Linked DNA regions of Macaca fascicularis. The protein of the gene in region 5 purifies or fractionates together with the protein of the main gene of each other region. This does not show direct contact. Links are inferred from orthologs where the notes say so. Each region holds a gene or a part of one and is shown on either strand. Other genes may lie near its edges.

Region 1 (4,287 bases), on a different chromosome or scaffold from region 5:
GTCTTCAATGGGCAAGTCTTTGAACTGGAGTTTCCCTTCATACATGAATTCAAGCAGGAGAGCGAAAGCGGGGGCTGTAACAATGTCGCTGTTCAGATGAACAATGTCTCTTTTGTCCAGCTGGTCCTTGTAAAAGAGGTGGAAATACATGCTGCATGAAGCCAGTACAGCGCGGTGCGCTCGGAACTGGGCATCTCCCACCAGAACAGTGCAGTCACAAAGAAAGCCCTGGTGCCTCTGCTCGCTCAGACACTGCAGCAAGTGTCTACTATGGTCTGGAAACTCCATACTGTCTTCATAACCTGGGGAGAGAGGAATTTCTCATTAGAGCCTGGTCAGGAACAACTTTTCAGTGCTCTAGTCCCCATATAAAAAAATTAATTCCGCCTTGGCCGCCGTGGTACATGTCCCTGAATTTCAATCAGGCTTATGACCCAGCACTACCAAATCACACGGACGAGACCTAAACGCGAGAAGGAAAACGTGCACTTTCTCAACTCCTTACCCCCGCCGGACAGCCTCCGACGCATCTCCATCTTCCCTGAACCCAAGCTTTCAAAGCCTTCCTTTAACTACAGTCTCTCACTAAGAATAAGAATTTAGATCTCTTTCAGAAGAAATTTAACTAACTCTACTTATCAAATTATGTCCTACAAAACCTACAAAATAGCTTTAATTTCAAAGGAAACAACTCATATAATAAACAAAGAAAGTCCCAAACATATCCTGGAACATACAAGAAAACTTGTTCAACCATCCTTTTCCTTTTATTACTTTTGCTACTTGACTGTACTTAGAAAGCACAGTTTAAACACACACACACATTTGGCTGATTCAAGAAAAAAAAAATGAAATTGCATAATTAGTCCAGAAATTAGCAAACAACTTACTTTTAAAGTCAGAGTGGTACAACAAAAGCCCTGTGTATAAAAACAGATGTTAATGCCTTCAGATTTGCAGGTACAGCACACATGTGCGAGATCAGGAGCTGCACCAGCAGATGGAAAAGATCATCTTTACTATGAACAAATCCAAAGATTTTTCAAAATGAACTGAGAAAAAAATTGTTATATTTCTTCGTAGAAACTGTACTTTTAGAATATTAGGAACCAGAGGGGCTTTATTTAACTCTGAAAATTCTCATCTAAACTTTGATCCATTGCAAGGCAAAATGAATTTCCTATTAAAATTAATTCTAACTTTTAAAAATAAAGGCATATAACGCTTAAATAAAACTCAAAAGCTTTACAGGTTCAACTGTTTTTTTTTTAAAGCCTTTTTAGAAAAAGAGAAACTTTTTCCCCCCCGGTTCTGCCTTACCTCAGCCAACAGAAAATACTTTGTTTCAATCTAATTTGATATAGTTTTGTTTTCCCACTAGCTTCTATTCTTGCAAATATTCATCATTGCCCTGGTTTTCTGATGAGGGAGAGTGAAATGGACGGAGGGGAGAGGCAAAGATGTACAAAGGGTCAGAATTCAACTGCAGTGGGTCAACTCCTGAAAAAGAAAGACCCGACTTCCCCTTTCCCGTGACCAGAAGCAAGGCTCCACACCACCCATCTCAGCAAGTGCATTTTGGGAATAGATACACTTAATTTAATATTCAGAAATTACTTCCCTCCTTCTTCTTCTTCTACACTTTGCCCAAGACAGACTAAAACTTTATCCTAACCCCAAATACATTCTGCAAGATGCCACTGCTAGAATAAACTAAGATTTACAATACAATCACTTTAAGTGCCCCACAGCTAACATCAATCCTAATCCTTGAGAAGGCTAAAAATAAAGATTGGAGGGCAGCTCACAAGGTAGCCGTGATCAAATTAGGAGGCTGAGAGGACAGAGAGGGACGAAGAAGGAAGCTTATAAACATCTGATCCAGCTGACTGTGGCCATATGGCAGCTGCTGCCCAGATAAAGAGATTAAGAATAGAGGAGTGCGATTACAGCTGTCTGGCCAATTCAGGCAGCTCAAATCTACAAGTTCTAAATTAGTCGCTAACACAAAAACTCCTGCAAATAATTATTGTTATGCTGAAATAAAAGATCTCTTAAATATATATTTGAAAGAGAAGTGAGGAAACCAGTCAAACTATTCTCCTGGGGACAAAAGTTTTTTTTTTCTTCTTCTTAAAAACCTTCAGTTTCAAAAGCACTACAGCTGTATGTTTCAGCAGTGCTGTTCAATGTTTTGAAGAATAAAGTTTCACAGTGGAATTAATTACACAACAATCTAGCTTCTTAACTAGAATAATCTTCTCATATAAGTTTGAATGCTGGATTCCAGACAGTTTAGTATTTCCCCACCACCACCATCCCAGTCAAATCTAAATAGCAGTGAACAACAAAAAAGCATTTTAATCCAACGTGATTTCCAAAAGCAGTATTTTAAAGCCTTTCTTAACATTTCAAAACTTGACATATTTCTGTGTATTAAAGTTATTTACTCGCTCAAGTAAAAGGGATAAAAAATTAAAACTAAACAAGCTCAAGACTTTCAACTCCAGTAAGATGTTCATTTAATACTCAATTTCATATATTATTCCTAAACTGGGTTAGAAAAGTAATGTGATTTTTAAAATTAAATAAACAAAACACCAAAACAGAAATATGCTCAATCTAATCTCTTGCTACTCCTACCTTTAGGACACATAAACCTGATTAAGTCCTTTCCTCTGAGTCCTGCTGGCTCCAGGTCTGTTACATCGGTGGAAAAAAAGCAGACTGAGAGAGACAGATGCAAAGTGGAGATGATGTTAGAGAGGAATGAGATACCTTCTCCACCACAGATCCGCACACACTAACTCCCTGTCTGTGTGTTAGAATAAAAGGCTGAGGGATGGCAGGCTGTCAGCTGCTCTGACATCATGTTCAGATGGAAATGCTACCTCCAGCTGTGCTCCTTTTAATGCCATATGCTACTCCTCTACACTCCTGCCACCAGCTTTTTCTTAGGAGAACTTTTCTCTTCTGTTAGTATAAACAAAATACTTCAAAGTCTTCCTTTTTTTCCAAACTTTCTAACAGAAGAAATTGAAAAACTCAGCATATGGAGTTCTACTGTATTTATGGAATAGCAACACTTCTGTCTTAAGTTGGTGGACTGGCTTACATACTGACAGCACACTCAAGCCACGGTGCTATTCAGGAAATCCAGATTCACTTTTATTTAACTCCAACGTTTAGCTTCTAAGGCAGTTTAGGGATATTTTTAAACCAACCCATTTGACATCTCCAGTCCCATTTCAACATTATTACCGCACTTTTTTTTTCTGCTGAGACAATGGTATACATGTCTCAAACGTTGGCAGACTTCTTCAGAACCATTACTTCGGACTGGTTCACCTTATTATTTCACTCTTATTTAATGACTTATCTACAACTACCTTCTCAGAAAAATTTCCTACACTGCCACAGTCAATGCAAATTTCAATTCTCAGTACCAACAAGCTGAAACTGCACTTTCTGAAATCCTGGAAAGTACTTCAGTTCAACAAGACCAATTAATAAACTGATACAACCTGCTACAGTCACTTAAAATGAATGCTGCACCTGCATATCTGATCTTTCTGCTCAGAAAAAGCAGAACCTTGCCTTCCCCTTGATCTGTGTCCCTTAACAATCTTTTTTGTGTGTGGGGGGGGTGTCACTCTGTCATGTTTAATGATCACAAGAAAATCTTTGTGTGGGGGGAAGCCAGGTCTAGTAAGTTTGAGAACTTTTCAGCCAGAGTTTGTGGGTCTTTTCTAAAAGCTGATGAAACTGTAACGCGACCCGGGCTGGGCTGACCGGTGCCGGGCAGGGTGCTGCGACGTCTCTGAATGTCAAATATATCTCCTCAGACTCTTGGGAGGGCGAGGGGTAGAAAAGGAACTGGGGCCTGAGGCGTCAGCGTCCCAGCCCTGGTGATAACCACTTCGTTCCCATTAGAAAGCCGTGGCGGAGAGTTAAATAGTAACAAAACCCGACGACTCTCCTGTCCTTCTCGCTTTCCCAAAGTCACAAACCTAACTTTCTCCAACTTCGCGGTGAGTGACATAATTATGAACGCTTAGTCCAGGAGACATCCTTGGGCGATCAATTTCTTTCCAGCCACACCACCTATTCTCCATAAATGCCCTCGCCCCATTCCAGTATATCAGACATTAATCACCCCATTTACCCAGTGGGGTGGGGGGTGAGTGACAGTTTAATGAGTCCCAAGCACCGCAATGGGCCAGCGACTCCCACTCCACAAATCAACCCCTTCACGTCTCGCTACCGCGGATCCATAGAGATTTCGTG
Region 2 (4,284 bases), on a different chromosome or scaffold from region 5:
TATGAAAAGAGGGAGGTAACTAGTATTAATACTGGGCAACCTTTCGTTAATTTTAGGTTACAGTGACCTCCCTCTGACATTTTGGAGTCAAAGATGAAAACTCGACTTTGAAGCATAATGGACATAATTACACATTTACCACAGTCATCTACAATTTTATATAACATCACAAAAAGACATCTAAACATTTTTCTACATCTTTTTTTCTCATTTGTTAAAACAGCTAGCTATGTTAAATACATCTTCAGAATGCATTTGTTAGTCACTTGATAAACATACTAAAAGCCAAACAAGACGAATAACATCAATTACCTTTATATCTAATAACTGTACCAATCACTGTAAGAAGATACAACTGAAGAAGTATTAGATCACCCATGATGTACTGCAAAGGTGTTACACCTTAGACCTAAGAATGATCTGAAGGTGCTGAAAGAGGTGATTCTCTAGAAGGTGACCCAGGGTTTTCTTCAGGTGGAAAAACTGTGAGTGTACAAGCTCGAATGCCACCAAGTGACTCTGGAAGATCAAAAACTTTATGCCACTCATCTTTTTCTGGGTCATATTTCTGGACAATTTCTACCATACAACGATTATTCCAAGAATATCCACCAACAACGTAGATTTTATTTTCAAAGACGGCAACTCCAACATCACTTTGGCCTCTTAACATGGCGGCAATTGGGGTCCACTGGTCAAGGGTTGGTGAATAGTATTCACAGCTTAGAACATCATCATAATCACTTGTTCCTCTGAAGTGATTGCCGCCAATGACATAGAGCTTATCTCCAACCGTACACATGCAATGCAGACCTCTGACTGTAGTCATTGGAGCCTTTTGCATCCACTTATCTGTATCTGGGTCAAAACACATAAGCTCATTTTGGAAAGTGTCATGGGTAATTCCTCCTGAAATATACATTAAGCCTCCATATACTGTTCCAGCATGGCCATAGTGGGGTTCACTCATTTTTGCAACATAGCTCCACTCATTCATTCTTGGGTTGTAACATTCTACTGTGGCCAGTTCACCAGCTGCACTGCGCCCACCAACTGCATACAAATGTCCTTTGAGGGCACTCAAGTGAAAGAATGTACGCTTTTCATTTAATGATGCAACCTGCATCCATTTATTATACCGAGGATCAAATCTGAAAACTGTATCAACAGCAGTTTTTCCTTTTGTATCATAATTACTTTGACCACCAACTACATAAAGAAAGTTTCCAATGACAGCAATACCATGCTGGTAACGGGGAGCATCCATCGGGGCTAAAGATCTCCATTCTTGTGCCCTTTCATCATACATTCGTAATTCTTTACTGACAACCAGCTGCTGCCTCAAAACTCCTCCTAATGTAACCAAGTGAGTGGAGTCAGATCGAATGGCAGTTCTATCTGACTGCATCACTGGCTGCATATATGGCATCATTTGGTAATTGCTGGCTTCCAAAAGCAAATTCACGCAGGTATTGTCTGTTCTCATGAAATCTACTGTCTGCACGTAATTGATGAGATCCTGTGGTGTCATCAGTGGGAATCGAATATTCTTCATTAATTTTGCAGCATAATCCATCCGAGGGTCTTCCAACCTTAGCCAGCGACAGGCTGCCTTAAAGAGTTCGAGTTCGGTACAGTGCTTAAGACTATTACTGGAAAGCACAAAGGCAAGCCGTTCAAAAGGGAGTTTTAGAAACTCCCCAGTACTCAATAAAGCAGGAAAGTTCTTCAGGATGAAGTTATTAACATATTTATCCACTTCTATGAGATTGTAGGTGTTAGCAATTCGTCCAACCTCAACACAGTTATCTAAAGAGACTCCTGATATAAGAAATACTTTACAGAAATCCAAAACGGGTAATATTTGTAAAAAACTAGCAGCTTCAAGTGTGTCCTGAAGATTGTCCATATTAAGAGAAAGTTTTGCAGTATAAATAAAATCAATGATTTTCTTCAGACCAACCTTGTTCACCCCATGAAGCTTAATGCACATCAGATCTTGTTCTTTCATTCCACCTGTGAACATAGCTTTGAAATAATCACTAGCAGACGCCATCATAGCTCTGTGAACAGGGAAGATTTCATCTCCATCACCTGGTACCAGAGTCACATCACAAAGCAATCCTTCTATTCTAAGCTGATCAAAGCCTTGCAGTACCACCGAACTGTGTGTATTGCTGGTAAAAAAGCGTGTGGTTCCTGCCTTACAAGGCTGCAAATGGGCAGAGACGCCCATTTCGCCGTTACCAAGGGACACTTTCATGTGAAAGCTTTCCTCTTGCACAGAGATGCAAGCCGGAGAAAGAAGTTATAACCGGAATGTTTTACAGGCAACGAGGTGTCCACAAAGAACAGAAAGCTCGTTTCCTTATCAAGGGAAGGCAGCCACTGCGGCACCCCTCAGGCCACGCCAGTCAGTCATCCACTGAAAATCGCCCTGTAGCAGGACCACAAAGGGCTGTGGACCTCAAATCTGATTATTAGACAGATGATTCATCACCTGAAGGCGGTTAAATGACCCGGTTCACCTCGTCCGGCCTGCGCTGCCGCTCCTTCAGCAGTTCCGCTTCGGGCAACGAAGAGGCGCCGCCACGTACTGTGGCTCCACGGCCCGCTCGGCGGCGGGTCCGGGAACCTCAGCGAACGGCCCGCTGCGCCCTCCGCTGTACCTAGAGTGTCGCAGCGGCCACCGACCTGTCTTTGAGCAAGGACCTGGAACACAGGCCTGGGACTGGGCTTGGGCCTAGAATACCGGCCTAGCCCCGACGCCGAGCCGCTCCTTCCGGAAAAGCTTACTCCCAGGATCCCGCGGGGTGGGAGCGGCCGTAGCGGCTACTGCGGCTGCGCGGCCTCCAGAGCTCGTCAGTGGGCGGGCGTGTGGGGGTGGGGAAGGGGGAGGAAGTGTGCGGGAGGCGGGGAGGGCGGGGGTTGAGGAAGACGAGCTGTCTGGAGTGGGCGCGAGCCCGGCTCCTTAGATCTGCCTTGTATGTGGGACAAAATAGAACAGAATGTGTGCACGTATATTATGCTGCATGTTTGATGTAAGTTTTTCACATATCTGAGCTCTTACGTTCCCCAAATGCATACATTTTTTAAAACTTTGCAATTCCTAGTTTCTGTTTTTTTGAATAACAGTGAAACGCGGCTTTTGTATAAATTGAGAGGAAACCTGGATGCTTAATTTTTTTTTTCCTCTACAAAACAATAATTGTTATCCCACATTATGTAATAGATACCTTAGTTACAATTTTGGTTCGTATTTTCAAATTTGTTATAATTTCAAAGGCAAAATATTTGTCTCTACTAGATTGTTACTTTATTATATAAATGATACAGTCTAAATTTTTGGCTTGAAATGCCTTTGTTTTCCATAATTTTAAAAATGGCTACATAATTTTTCAATAACATACTATAGTTTCCTTTGCCCATTGTTTGTTCCTGAATATGTACCTTCTTATCCTCCATTGTTTTATAGAAAAACAATGGAGTAGTAAATTTACAGAATCTGGTAGCAAAATTTTAGCCCTGTTATGGATAATATTTAGTAAAATGCTGATCCAAGACAGTATTTCCAAAATATTATCATGAGCAATGTTTGTGCCTTTCCCTTCTGCTGACTTTTCCCTTTTTAAGTATTTTATTAATTTACATTTCTTTAATTAGTGGTAAATTTAAATTTTGACATACAAATCAATGTATACTTTGACACAGTTTCTTCCATTTTCCAAATTTTGAAGTTTATGTCTTTTAAGTCCTTCTAGTTCTTTAAGCGTGTGCAAAGTAAGAATAGTCATGTTTTTATTACACTCTCCTCATTTTTATGTAAAAGATAGCATACCATGTACACTGTTCTGCATTTTTCTTTTTTCACTTCAAGATCTTCCTGAATTACTATAGAGAGCTTATTTATATTTTTAAACAATTCTATTGTTGCCCTCGGAGTTGTTATAAGTTATTTAACCAGTGCCCGATTGATGGACAGTTCATCTGTTTTGAATGTTTTCTATTGTTTCCGATGGATGGCAGCAAAATTCAGAAGGCTTAGACTACCACTGACCTCCACAAGGTGCTCCAGCAGATTGTCAACCTATTCAACACAAGAGGTTGGTTGGAATGAAACTGGCCTGGAGAAATTATTCACTGAAATTTTGTCAGCATTGGGAAGTCCTGGAGCCCTACTTGTTGCATGAGTTAGGGGTGGAAGGGCTCTCTTGGGGCATGACAACTCCATAATGCTGTGAAGAGCTACTTCCAAGGAATCAGTCTCTATCTGGAAAAGAAAGA
Region 3 (4,207 bases), on a different chromosome or scaffold from region 5:
CCTTCAAAACTCCACCAACAATTCCTAGTCCAGTTTTCTATTGTACAGATTAAAAAGTTAAATTCCTTGTGGCACTAACCAAAACTTAAAAATTAACAGAAGACTGAATTAATTAAAAAAAAAAAAAGCATACTAACTAATCAAAACAATCCACTGTGCAATGAATATTTGAACAATGAAAAAAACCTACCAAGCATCCCAGTCAATTACATAGTTCTTGCTTCCATATTTTAATTTTGGACTTTCAGGAAGGTATATTATTAAACAGGTCGATTTTGTGGACTGTTTAAACCTTGTAGTATTTCAAAATATTACCCTTTCTAAACCAAATCTGTGGTCCTGGTCAACTTTTTTTTTTTCAAGAAAAAGAAAGGATATGTGTTTAAAATACATTCCGTAGCAGTAGAAACATCTTAGTGTCTCAAAATCTATTTACAAAGAACCCTGCTGATCCTGTGCATTTCGCTGAGGTGCTACTTGCACCCAGACTTCATCATCTGAAAAAGAACTTGAACTTCCTGACTCAGAGTCCAGCTCACTGAATCCATCTAAGTCCCATTCAGTACTAGACTCACTCCGTGCATCATCTTCCTCAGTAATAAAACTCTGACCAGGTTCAAGGCAGGAAGGATAAACACGGGCACAAAGGCAAATAAAGCCAGAGTCAAACTGCAAAAGGCCTAACATAGTACCTATATTAATCCACTGATCTTCCCTAGTATCATACTCATACACTGTTACTCGGTTCTTTTTCCATTGTGGGGTTGTAGAAGTGATGAGAAGCAACTTTCGGTCATGATTGACAATCTGGTAGTTGTGGGTCTCTGAATCCAAAGGAATATTACTAATCCGCCTCCATTCTCCCCTAGCTGGGTTGTAGACCTTCATGACTGGGATGTCACAGATACAATAGATTTCATCATTGAAGACACATGCTTCCTGAAAGTCACTGCGTTTAAGAGAAGCACAGTTCAGCCACATATTGTGGCTAGGATCATAGCAGAGCATGCGCTTACTGTTGACAGCATAAAGATAGTTCTGAACCACTATGAGTTCAAAGGAATAGAAGGAATGAGGGACAGGAGCCACCAATGCCCACTGGTTTCTCTGAACACTGTAGCATTCCACTTCCTTCAACTTAACTCCAGTAGTAGGGTCTCGCCCCCCCAAAATGTAGATGTAGCCATTGAGATATGCCACATCCATGCCCTCACGACACAGCAAGCGATCTGCAAGTTGCTGCCAACTATTCTGAGCTGGTTTATACACCCAGAGGTCTTTCCTTGGCTGGGCAGCTAGATAGATGTCATGGTCTGGGGAGACACAGACAGCTGAGGAGGTAACAGTCTTAGTGTGAGCAAAGCTGGTCAAAGGTGATGGCATTGTGTAAATGTCCCCTGAGTAAGGGTCATAGCAGAGAAAGGGATCTCTCGGGTGTCCAAAGAAGATCACCATCTCCTTGGCACACATACCCAGTCTCTGGGGTGGATTTTCTGCTGCAGATACAAGAGAGTTGCTGCTGCTACTGCTGCTGCTGCTGCTGTTTGGCACTGGCACCAGAGACTTGTACAACAGGTCACCATAGCGCATCTGCAGGGCCCCTTCAATAACGTCCAGGCAGTACTTCTTCACGATGGGCTTGGTCAGCAGCCCTTCTAAGTAGTCCTGATCTTCTTCAGTGAAGTGCATCCAGCGCACGCACTTGAAGACTTCCGCAGCACTGGGACCCCGCTCCTTGGGAGCAGCCTCCAGCCACTGCACAGCTACATGGCATACAGTCCGCTCACTCTCTATGTCCAGACTATCCAAGCGCAGGACAGCCAGCAGCTGGGCCAGGGTCAGATCTGCTAGAGTCTCTTCCCGAATTGAACCCATTCGGCTGAGCTGCTTGAAGTTCTGAGCTATATAGGACTGGGCCTGAGATCGAAGCTTGTGATGGTCGAAGGCGTCTGCAAACTTGAGGATGGCGGTGCAGTTGGTCAGGTCAAGACGTCGGGCTAAGAAGGAGGCACAGGCTTCCCGCACATACTCCAGTTGCAGCATGTCGGAGGCTGCGTACAGGCGCTGCACATTGGCCTCGCTGAGAGAGACACGACCCGTGTAGCAGTAGTCGACCAACACCTCGAAGGACTCGGCGTCCACATCGTGCATGGTCACGCTGGCCTGCTGGCTCTCGTACATGCCACCTGTGAACATGCTCTTGAAGTAGGGACACGCAGCTGCTAGCACGTTGCGATTGCAGGAAAAGAGGCGACCCGTGCCAGGCCCGCTGCCAGGCGTCACCACCTCGATGGTCACATCACACAGCAGCCGCGCGTCGTAGAAAGACTTGAGCTGTGCCAGCAGGGCTGCAGAATGGGCCGTGTCCTTTAATTCCTCTGGACCCGTGAAAAAGGCCGAAACCGAGGGCTTGGAAATCCTCTTGGGCCGCCTCCCACCGCGGGGGCTGGCGAGGCGGCGAGAGCGCGGGGCGTCTTCCCGGGACTGCATGGTGGAGATGGCGACGGGCGCTGATAGCGAGAAAGGCTGCCGGACCCGGCTCTGGCTCCTCCTCAACCTTCCCTCGCTGACGCTAAGACAAGCCGCGTCCTGGAACAGACTGCGGCACGGGCCGCACTTCTGAATTCAGCCTTAGCCCGCGGTGAGGTCTCCCTTTATTGCGTAGACAGTGGCTGACTCACCCTCTCTCACTCCCGCGCCCTTTCTCCGCCTCCGCTCGCCCTCACAGGACCCGCTGGCTTGGAGCCGCGGAAGGCCCCACTGCCGCGCTGGCGATCCCGCTAGGCGCCCAGGAGAACTACCGCTTCCAGGTTGCCTTTCGCGCCCCGAGGCCTGCTGGGGCTCTCGGACGGCCGGGCGGGGACAGAGGGAAAGAAACCGCTTTGCATGTTGGGAGTAGTAGTTTGTGTAATATCGCGAGCTTTCCTTTCGCTGACTGCCCTAACAGTAGAAATTAATTCTGGATATGATGGTGAAGTGACGATGTCTCACTATTGTTGTCCAGGCTGGTCTTGAACTCCTGAGGGCTCAAATTATCCTCCTGCCTCTGCCTCTCAAAGTGCTGGGATTACAGGCGTGAGCCACCGGGCCCTGCCAGTATTTCATAGGGTTTTGTGTGATTGAATGATACGTTACATAGGATACTTAGATACATGTATTTTTTTGGTTAGAAGAACAATAAAGCGTTACCCCGTGCCTAGAATGTAGCCAATAATTGTTAGATTCTCTTTTATAATTTATGATAAATGAGGCACCCACTAATTTGAAACCAAAAAATTTTTAAAATTTTTAAAATTATTTTAAACCGCAAAATTTTACAAAGAACTTAGTTTTTAATTTTTATTCTTTTGAAAGATTTTGAAGGGCATTAACTATTTTCAATGTTAAATGGTACGTATTGGCCTTGTTTAATAAGGATGTCTTAGACGACTAGGTTGAGGTCCTAAAGAACGGTGTTAATAGATGGCCTCAAATATGCAAATCGGGCATATAAAAATAGATTATTTGCTACTCTCACTAACATTTCATCTCTGGGGAGCAGGAATATTTTCATTAAGCTCCAAATATGAGTGTTTTCAAGTCGTCTAATACAGTCTCTTTCACTGCCATTCCACATATCAATTAACAGATTCTGTAATTGCCTTTATTAAGGAGTTTTAGGGAGTATTTAACTCAAAATATTTCAAGAAACAGACTTTGTTCTGTACAAAAGCACGTGATTCTCAGAATTCAGCATTAGTACATGCCCTGACATTCCTTGAATTAACATACAGTATAGCCTATGCTTTACAAAAGTCTTTTATATTTGCATTGATCAACAGTTAAATCATCAAAATCAAGTATTAGAGATTTGAGGCAGGAAAATAGGGTCTGGAGGCAGGGAACATAAGGCCGATTCACACTTTAGCTATAACAAGAAATACCCTCTCCATAGGGTGTATGCCGAGTAAATGAGTTTGTAACTTTAATTCATTCTCTTCGTTTACATAGGGTATACACCAAGTAACCAGTGAATCCTCTAGAGGGTATTTAAACCTCCAGGAATTCTGTAACAGGGCCCTTGAGCCCTGTGCTGGGCCTGCGCCCACACTGGAGTGTACTTTCATTTTCAGTACATCTCTGATTTTGTTGTTTCATTCTTTCCTTGCTTTGTTTATGTGTTTCTTCCAATTCTTTGTCCAAAACGCCAAGAACCTGGACACCCTCC
Region 4 (3,514 bases), on a different chromosome or scaffold from region 5:
TTTACTGTAAGTCAGAAAAAGAATACACTTAAAAAAATAGAAATGTCCAGTAGTATACCTTAGTACTAAAACTATTTTTTAAAAAGATCTAGATGGGAAAAGGCAGTCCCTCGAGATCATGAAACAAAATAAGTTAGGCAGTCAGCAAGTAGAAAAATCTGTCAATTCTGTTTCTGGTAAAATGTTTACTTCAAAGAAATTTTTATATAGGCTGAGGCTAATATATTCAAGAGTATAAACACTTTTCCTTTGGATTACCTAAAAACAAACTTTTAAAGTATCATATTTCAATTGACTAAAAATATAGCCAAATCTGTCACAACACAACATAAAATGGACAATTATAGAATATTTTAAATTAACAGTAACAAGCCATCTACATCAAACCTTATTTCCAACTAAAACCAAACAAAAGCACAACAATCCCGTAGTGTACCAAGTGTGTATTTCAATTTACTGTATGCAATCTAACAAAAATTTGGTCATAATTTACCAGATATACATAAATGATTTAAGTAGTAAAAGAAAATTCAGCTTCAAGAGAGTAAGTTCATATCTTGAGGAAAAGTAAAAGTACATTAAGAATGTAAAGCCAAAGTCCAGTTTCTATGCAATAAGTGAACTGTAGTCTAATAAAGCAGATTTAGGTGATTTTTAGATATATATCTTTGTTCTTTAATATATATTTATATATAGACAGATCTACCAATTGTAAACTAGTTTATTTAAAGGAAGGGAATAAATGGGATGAAAGAAATCTTAATACTATACTTACATATTCACAAAGAACATTTTACGTTTAAAATACTTTTTCATTCATAGTATCTTTGCCCAACTAATTTCTACCAGAAATACATGTTACTCATTTGTCTAGAACATTAAGATGTACTCATCTGTTTTAAACAAAAATCAAACTGAAACTATTCTTATCTGTCAGGTTTACAGTTATGTAGAAACTACAATATAGATGACAAAAGATGCATCTAACCATGTAACTGTAATTTATCTTTGATTTATCCAAGCAGAAACATCATTGTCTAACAATAAACCATTATTCTACTGAAATCAGAGACAATGATAAAGCTTGTCTCTTAAAAAACATCAACTTTCCAACTTTGATCAGATGGAGCACCAAAGGGATTATATCTGTCAAAGCATCTTTGCAATTTTTTCCACATAACTAGCATAATTTAGTTACCTGATATAAAATAGGAAAATATACTCAATTTTTATTTAAAAGAAAGCTGAAAATATGACATCCCTCAATCTTATATAATATACAATATGCTAATAAATGCCATACATGTTAACAATACGTGAAATGCTGCTGAGAGTTCCACAATCAGCTAATTCATGTCACCAGGCTAAGTAAATCTGACAATTTCACCTCAATGTCACCCTTTGTACCCTGAAGAATTTAGTTTATAGAATAATAAAGCTTCTCAGAATTTTATTTGTAAGATTTTTGAGACTGTTGAATCATGGTGACTACTAGAAGGGCTGTATCAAGGTGTAGTGACTTCAAGGAACAGAAAAAAATAAATTAAGTATTGATCATAATTTCAAAACAATCAATATCCCGCTAAGTATGAAACAAAAGAGAATGCACATTTTGTGTTAATTTTAATGATAAAAGGGACATGGGTAAAAACCTGATATTTCACTTATATTGCATAACAAGCTAACCAAACTGGACATGGTGGATAAATTATAAAACAAATCATTTTACTTATTTCTATGATTTTTCTTTCAATTAGGTCTTTCAAATAGGACTGAGGTATAGTACACTGGCAAAAATAAAGAGGCAAACAAGAATAGTGCCAAAGTAACAGATACCCAAAACCGAATACCATGTCAGAAAACATCATATAGTAACCATTTATCAGATTAGAGCAGCAGAAGAAAGTTACTTCTAAATCATAATCATTTTAGTGGTATTTGTCAACTTCGCCACGGTAACTTCATAACATCATTCTTCATTTGTGAAGTAGTAAAATTCATGTCAAAAAGGAAGGGGGGAATGGAGGAAGTCAGTTAGTTCATTCCAATAAATTACCTCTCCAGTTCTTATAAACATGCCCATCAGCACAAAATTGAGAAATAATACCTAAGACTAGAAGAGACTTGGTTTAAGTTATGAAGCAAATTAAATGGAAAAATACAAGAAAATAGAACCAATGGGGTTGAAAAAGCCCCTCACTGAAAATCTGTATTAAAAAAAATAAAATTAATAAAAATAAAAATAGAAACAAAACTCTACTAGTACAAACTAGCCTGAGTGGTTTGATGGACAGAGTGATTGGGTCAATTGTCACTGTACTTCCATAAATGGATTTTCTCCATTCATGTTAAAGTAGCACATGAATGTAAGCTCTTTAAGGACTATTTTCATAGGACCCAAATAGTTACTGTATATCCTATAAATAGAAAATATTTTACTTTGATAACTGACTGAATATGTGGGGACTCCATGTAATCCAACCACATGGTTGTTTGCTGTATAGTCCTGTGCAAATATAAAAAAAAATTTTTTTTTGCTATAAGGCTTTGACCCTACAGTTTTCACAGCAACATAACTACTATCCAGCATGTACCATATTTTGCAAGCCTTCAAGTTCAACAATCCAAATTGTCGATTCATATTAGGTCCAAATGCAGCATCCTTGAGGAGTATAGTAGGTCAGTTAATCATCTAGAGACATACAAACTTCTCCTGATTCATCCCATCGAGAGGGATCATTCTGATCTTCTCCATCATCAACTAGCTCTTCATCAGCTTCTCCTACTTCATTCTCCTCGTATTCTTCATCCCGAGGGAATTCTGTATCCTGTCCCTGATCTACACCTTCTTGCCCTCCTGGTTGTGATTTATCTGCACAGTCTACACAAACACCATAACGTCGAGATCCATGTCTTATTCCAACACTGGCTGCTAACATGAAGATCTTCTTACACACCATACATTTGTATTTTTTATCCTTTTTATGCACCTAATTGAAGGGGGGAAAAATCCAATATAAGGATATTATATATAATAGAATGCATTTGAACCACTCAAATTAAACCACACATTTAGTAATGAGTGAATATACCACTGTTTCTCTGTAAAAAGCTCACTATCAGTTCATAAAGTCAAACTCTTTGTTTAAAGCAATTTAGGAGACAATCTTCCTTAAATTCACAATTAACTGTTTAAATCCCTTTAAACTTCACTGACATAAATACAGTTTATCTCAAAGATCAGCTGTATTTAAAGTTACTTACCAGGGAATGTCTTTTTACATGTTCTCTTCGAGTAAACAGTTTTCCACAAATATCACAGCTAAATGATCTCACTCCTGTGTGAATGAGCAAGTGCCTTTTTAGTGTTCGTCTGTATTTGGCTACATAGCTACAATGAGGGCATTTTAACTTGTTCATGATTAGAGATGATTCACCTATGAGAATTAACAAAAAAAGAGAAAGTGCTTATTATACATTAAACAGAAAACTTGCTATCAAAACTTCTTATCTC
Region 5 (3,514 bases):
GCGTGAAGTCTTGCCAGAGTATCCCTGGGCCACTGACTGGTCTTTCTGAGCCTCCATTTTCTCCACTTCACAATGCAAATAACTATTTCTTAGACTTGTTATAGGAAAAACATGGAATAAATAAAGAAGAAAACATCTGTGGAGTGCCTGGTGTCTAGCATAGGTTTTTTTTTTTTTTTTTGGTTTTTTGTTTGTTCGTTTGGGACTCGGTCTTGCTCTGTCACCCAGGCTGGGGTGGTGTGGCGCAATCACGGCTCACTGCAACCTCGGCCTCTTGAGCTCAGGGATCCTCCCACCTTAGCTTCCCTAGTAGCTGGGACTACAGGTGTGTGGCATGATGCCTGGCTAATTTTTTTTTTTTTTTTTTTTTTTTTTTTTGGTAGAGACAGAGTGTTTTGCCTTGTTGCCCAGGCTGGTCTCAAACTCCTGGGCTCAAGTGATCCTTCTGCCTTGGCTTCCCAATATGCTGGGATTACAGGTGTCAGTATAGATTTTTATTATCTGTTTTCTCAGTCTTCAAAGGGTCCCACATTAAATGCTGCACCATTTCCTAAACTCATGCTCACATCGCTGGTCAGCTCCACAGGCCTTCCACCAGGACCTCTGGAATCACTTCTTATCACGTGCTAGGAGTGGCATCTGATGTATGGGGAGATGCAAATTCCCACATACCCCCTCACTGGCCCTTTCTTGTTCCCGAGTGGCCAGAATACATAGATGTTCAGTAGCAAAATTACACACTTGTGAAAAACCAATTTGGCACTGTTCTTTCCACCTTTACTGTTGCTGGAAACTTGAAACACAGAATATAATTTTACGGTTAGACCCTGAAAATTGCAGTTTGTCATGTAACCTTTTAAATTTTGGTCCATGGACTTATAAATAGGATGCCAAACTCTAAGTTGACTCTATATATATGATTACTTTTTCTTTCTGCTTAAGCACAGAATTATTAAGTGGGGAAATGCAAAGATAATCCCAGATTAGTTTACAAAAGCAGGCGAACAATGCATAGCTATAATTGTGTATATATATATAATGTATATATAATATAGAATATATGGGGGTGGGGATAGAGAAGGAGAGGATACGACATCAAGCTATTAACTATACTGATATGTAGAAAGCAAACAACTTGATAGTCAACTCTTACTTTATCACATCTCATCAGCCCCAAATATCTCAGAGACTTGCTGCTCTGTGCAATCAGGGTGGCTCCTTGGTCTGTAATTTCCTTACACCATCCAACATCCACAGTCTCTATTGTCATGCTGTACCGCCCAATGGCTATCAGTGCTGCAAGAAGGGACAGAGAGAAAGCATTAACGTTAGCAGTGTAAGGGAGCTCTATCTTACTATGACTATTCATCTCATTTCCTCACTAAATTTGTTCCTGAAATTTTGTGTGTAAATGAATGTTTTATAAACTAAATTAAATTTGAAATGCTTTACGAAAGCTTCCCTATGACAAATCCTTTTGCAAAGTGAATAATCATTCCATAATTTCCCTTTCATTGGACACAACCTTTTATCAGTTTTATTCATTACAAGGTTACCTGTGCTTTCAAACATGCAGCTCTGCAGAAGGAATACAATAAAATGAATTACAGATACAACGTTTAAGAAAACCCAAGTAATAATTTTACCCAAGATAACTTTAATTTTTTTTTTCAAGAAAAACCCATGTAAACACCGTTTTGAGGAGTGTTATACTGCATGTGAATGTCTTTACCAATTGGCATAATTTTTTCCATCTGCTCATGACCTATAAAATGTAAAAGTATAAAATATTTTTCACATTAGTACTTCTTGGGACTGTTAGGAATTAAGAGTACATCATACATACAGCTGATTTTAACTGGTGCCATGCTAGAGTTCAGTAAAGGGAATGCATTTGTTATGGTGAATTTCCTCATCCTATCAGAAGTCTTCCTTCTATTAACATATAAAATGAAGCCTGTCATCTGTAAACCATGAGAGTATCTGTAGTCTTCTTAGCTGTTTAGCATTGTACCACCACTAAAGTGCAGACTCTTATCCCACAATCTATGACGTGCACTACTAGTCACTGCAAAGCCCCACAGCCCATTACCCCATCAGAGTGACCAGTTGGTGAATGTGGCTCTTTTCTACCGACTTTGATAGATGTGCCCACCTCTATATTTATGGAGCAGAAAAACAAATTTCAATACTCCAGCACCAGTTTATGGTGCATTGGTTTGTGAATGAAAACCCTGAAAACAGTGCCACAAATATCAAAAAGAAAAGAGAAATGGTTTTCTGATAATTTCCTCCTTCTAAGATAGCATAAGTTGATTTCTGTGACAATAAAGGTGAATGATAGTTCCCAAAATGTGTTGACTAGATGGATAGAGTTAAGTACTCATGTTAACAAATGTTTACTCCTACAGCTCACAGAAGAGAATATTTGGAAAAGTCTTTCTTTGCTAATTACCTCAGTTTTTTTTTTTTTTTTTTTTTTTTTTTTTTTTTTTACTAGAAAACTCATGTCTGTACATTCCAGTAGGAAAGCACTCAAAGGAGCCAGATATTTAATGTTTATACAAACAGCAATCATGACCCCAGTATTTTCCAGTGAAAATACAATAGAGAGAATTTTTTTTTAAAGTTCTTTATGTACCAGTTTGTTAATGTTTTCATCTTTGTGCATGCTGTTTTGATATTTAAAGTTTTCCAAGGGATTTGGGGATTTGCCAACTACTAAAAGTTTGCAGAAATGGTCTGAATACTATCTTTGTGTAGAAGGAGCAACATCCCAGGTTAATTTTGGTGTCTCTGACCTAAGAAAATTGTTCTCTCTGGTACCATCATAACTTTCATTGCTTATGATATCCTGAAGATCTGCTAAGAAAAATGAAGTAGGGGATACATAAAATAAATCCCTTTTAATACAAAGTGCTCAAACTATAATTTCCAAAGATGACAAAGCACCACTTGCAGGATGGCCTGGGGTTGGTAGATTTTGTGAAGTTGTTTCATTGAGGTCTGAGGCTAGAACACGAAAGCCCTGTACTATCCAGAAAAGCCCTGACTGTTACAGCCTGCTTTATAAGCAGATAAAGCGTCAATAGCTATTGATTCTGGGTGGTAAAATTACTGATGTTTGGAGGCTTTTCTTCTGACTTAGCACTATTTACTGAAGTTAGAATGAAACTTTATTATTTCTTTTTTTTTTTTTTTTTTTGAGAGGGAGTCTCGCTCTGTTGCCCAGGCTGGAGTGCAGTGGCTGGATCTCGGCTCACTGCAAGCTCCGCCTCCCAGGTTCACGCCATTCTCCTGCCTCAGCCTCGCGAGTAGCTGGTACTACAGGCGCCCGCCACCGCGCCCGGCTAGTTTTTTGTATTTTTTAGTAGAGACGGGGTTTCACTGTGTTAGCCAGGATGAGAAACTTTATTATTTCTTAACTCATTCAATTATTTAATAACCACTTCATGAGCTCTAGAGCATTTTTGCCAACATTTATTGACTACACTCCATGTGCCAGGCCCTTGGC

Evidence for each region.
Region 1: the proteins of FBXL17 (region 5) and ZBTB18 purify together in Homo sapiens (co-immunoprecipitation; 3 studies listed by BioGRID and IntAct, with this or other methods). This does not show direct contact. The link is inferred for Macaca fascicularis from reciprocal best matches to the Homo sapiens genes FBXL17 and ZBTB18.
Region 2: the proteins of FBXL17 (region 5) and KLHL9 purify together in Homo sapiens (co-immunoprecipitation; 3 studies listed by BioGRID and IntAct, with this or other methods). This does not show direct contact. The link is inferred for Macaca fascicularis from reciprocal best matches to the Homo sapiens genes FBXL17 and KLHL9.
Region 3: the proteins of FBXL17 (region 5) and KBTBD7 purify together in Homo sapiens (co-immunoprecipitation; 3 studies listed by BioGRID and IntAct, counting the BioPlex papers as one, with this or other methods). This does not show direct contact. The link is inferred for Macaca fascicularis from reciprocal best matches to the Homo sapiens genes FBXL17 and KBTBD7.
Region 4: the proteins of FBXL17 (region 5) and ZBTB10 purify together in Homo sapiens (affinity purification with western blotting; 3 studies listed by BioGRID and IntAct, with this or other methods). This does not show direct contact. The link is inferred for Macaca fascicularis from reciprocal best matches to the Homo sapiens genes FBXL17 and ZBTB10.

The regions. Positions count from the first base shown.
Region 1 is NC_088375.1:5,152,154-5,156,440, forward strand, and holds the start of ZBTB18 (zinc finger and BTB domain-containing protein 18), read right to left. Parts: upstream 2,806-4,287; 5' UTR 2,657-2,805; coding exon 2,644-2,656; intron 303-2,643; coding exon 1-302.
Region 2 is NC_088389.1:77,609,247-77,613,530, reverse strand, and holds the start of KLHL9 (kelch-like protein 9), read right to left. Parts: upstream 2,809-4,284; 5' UTR 2,264-2,808; coding exon 410-2,263; 3' UTR 313-409; intron 1-312.
Region 3 is NC_088391.1:20,548,000-20,552,206, forward strand, and holds the start of KBTBD7 (kelch repeat and BTB domain-containing protein 7), read right to left. Parts: upstream 2,803-4,207; 5' UTR 2,491-2,802; coding exon 433-2,490; 3' UTR 1-432. UniProt on the Homo sapiens protein: As part of the CUL3(KBTBD6/7) E3 ubiquitin ligase complex functions as a substrate adapter for the RAC1 guanine exchange factor (GEF) TIAM1, mediating its 'Lys-48' ubiquitination and proteasomal degradation.
Region 4 is NC_088382.1:90,293,295-90,296,808, reverse strand, and holds part of ZBTB10 (zinc finger and BTB domain-containing protein 10), read right to left. Parts: intron 3,438-3,514; coding exon 3,265-3,437; intron 2,991-3,264; coding exon 2,685-2,990; 3' UTR 1-2,684. UniProt on the Homo sapiens protein: May be involved in transcriptional regulation.
Region 5 is NC_088380.1:114,361,833-114,365,346, forward strand, and holds part of FBXL17 (F-box/LRR-repeat protein 17), read right to left. Parts: intron 1,297-3,514; coding exon 1,154-1,296; intron 1-1,153. UniProt on the Homo sapiens protein: Substrate-recognition component of the SCF(FBXL17) E3 ubiquitin ligase complex, a key component of a quality control pathway required to ensure functional dimerization of BTB domain-containing proteins (dimerization quality control, DQC).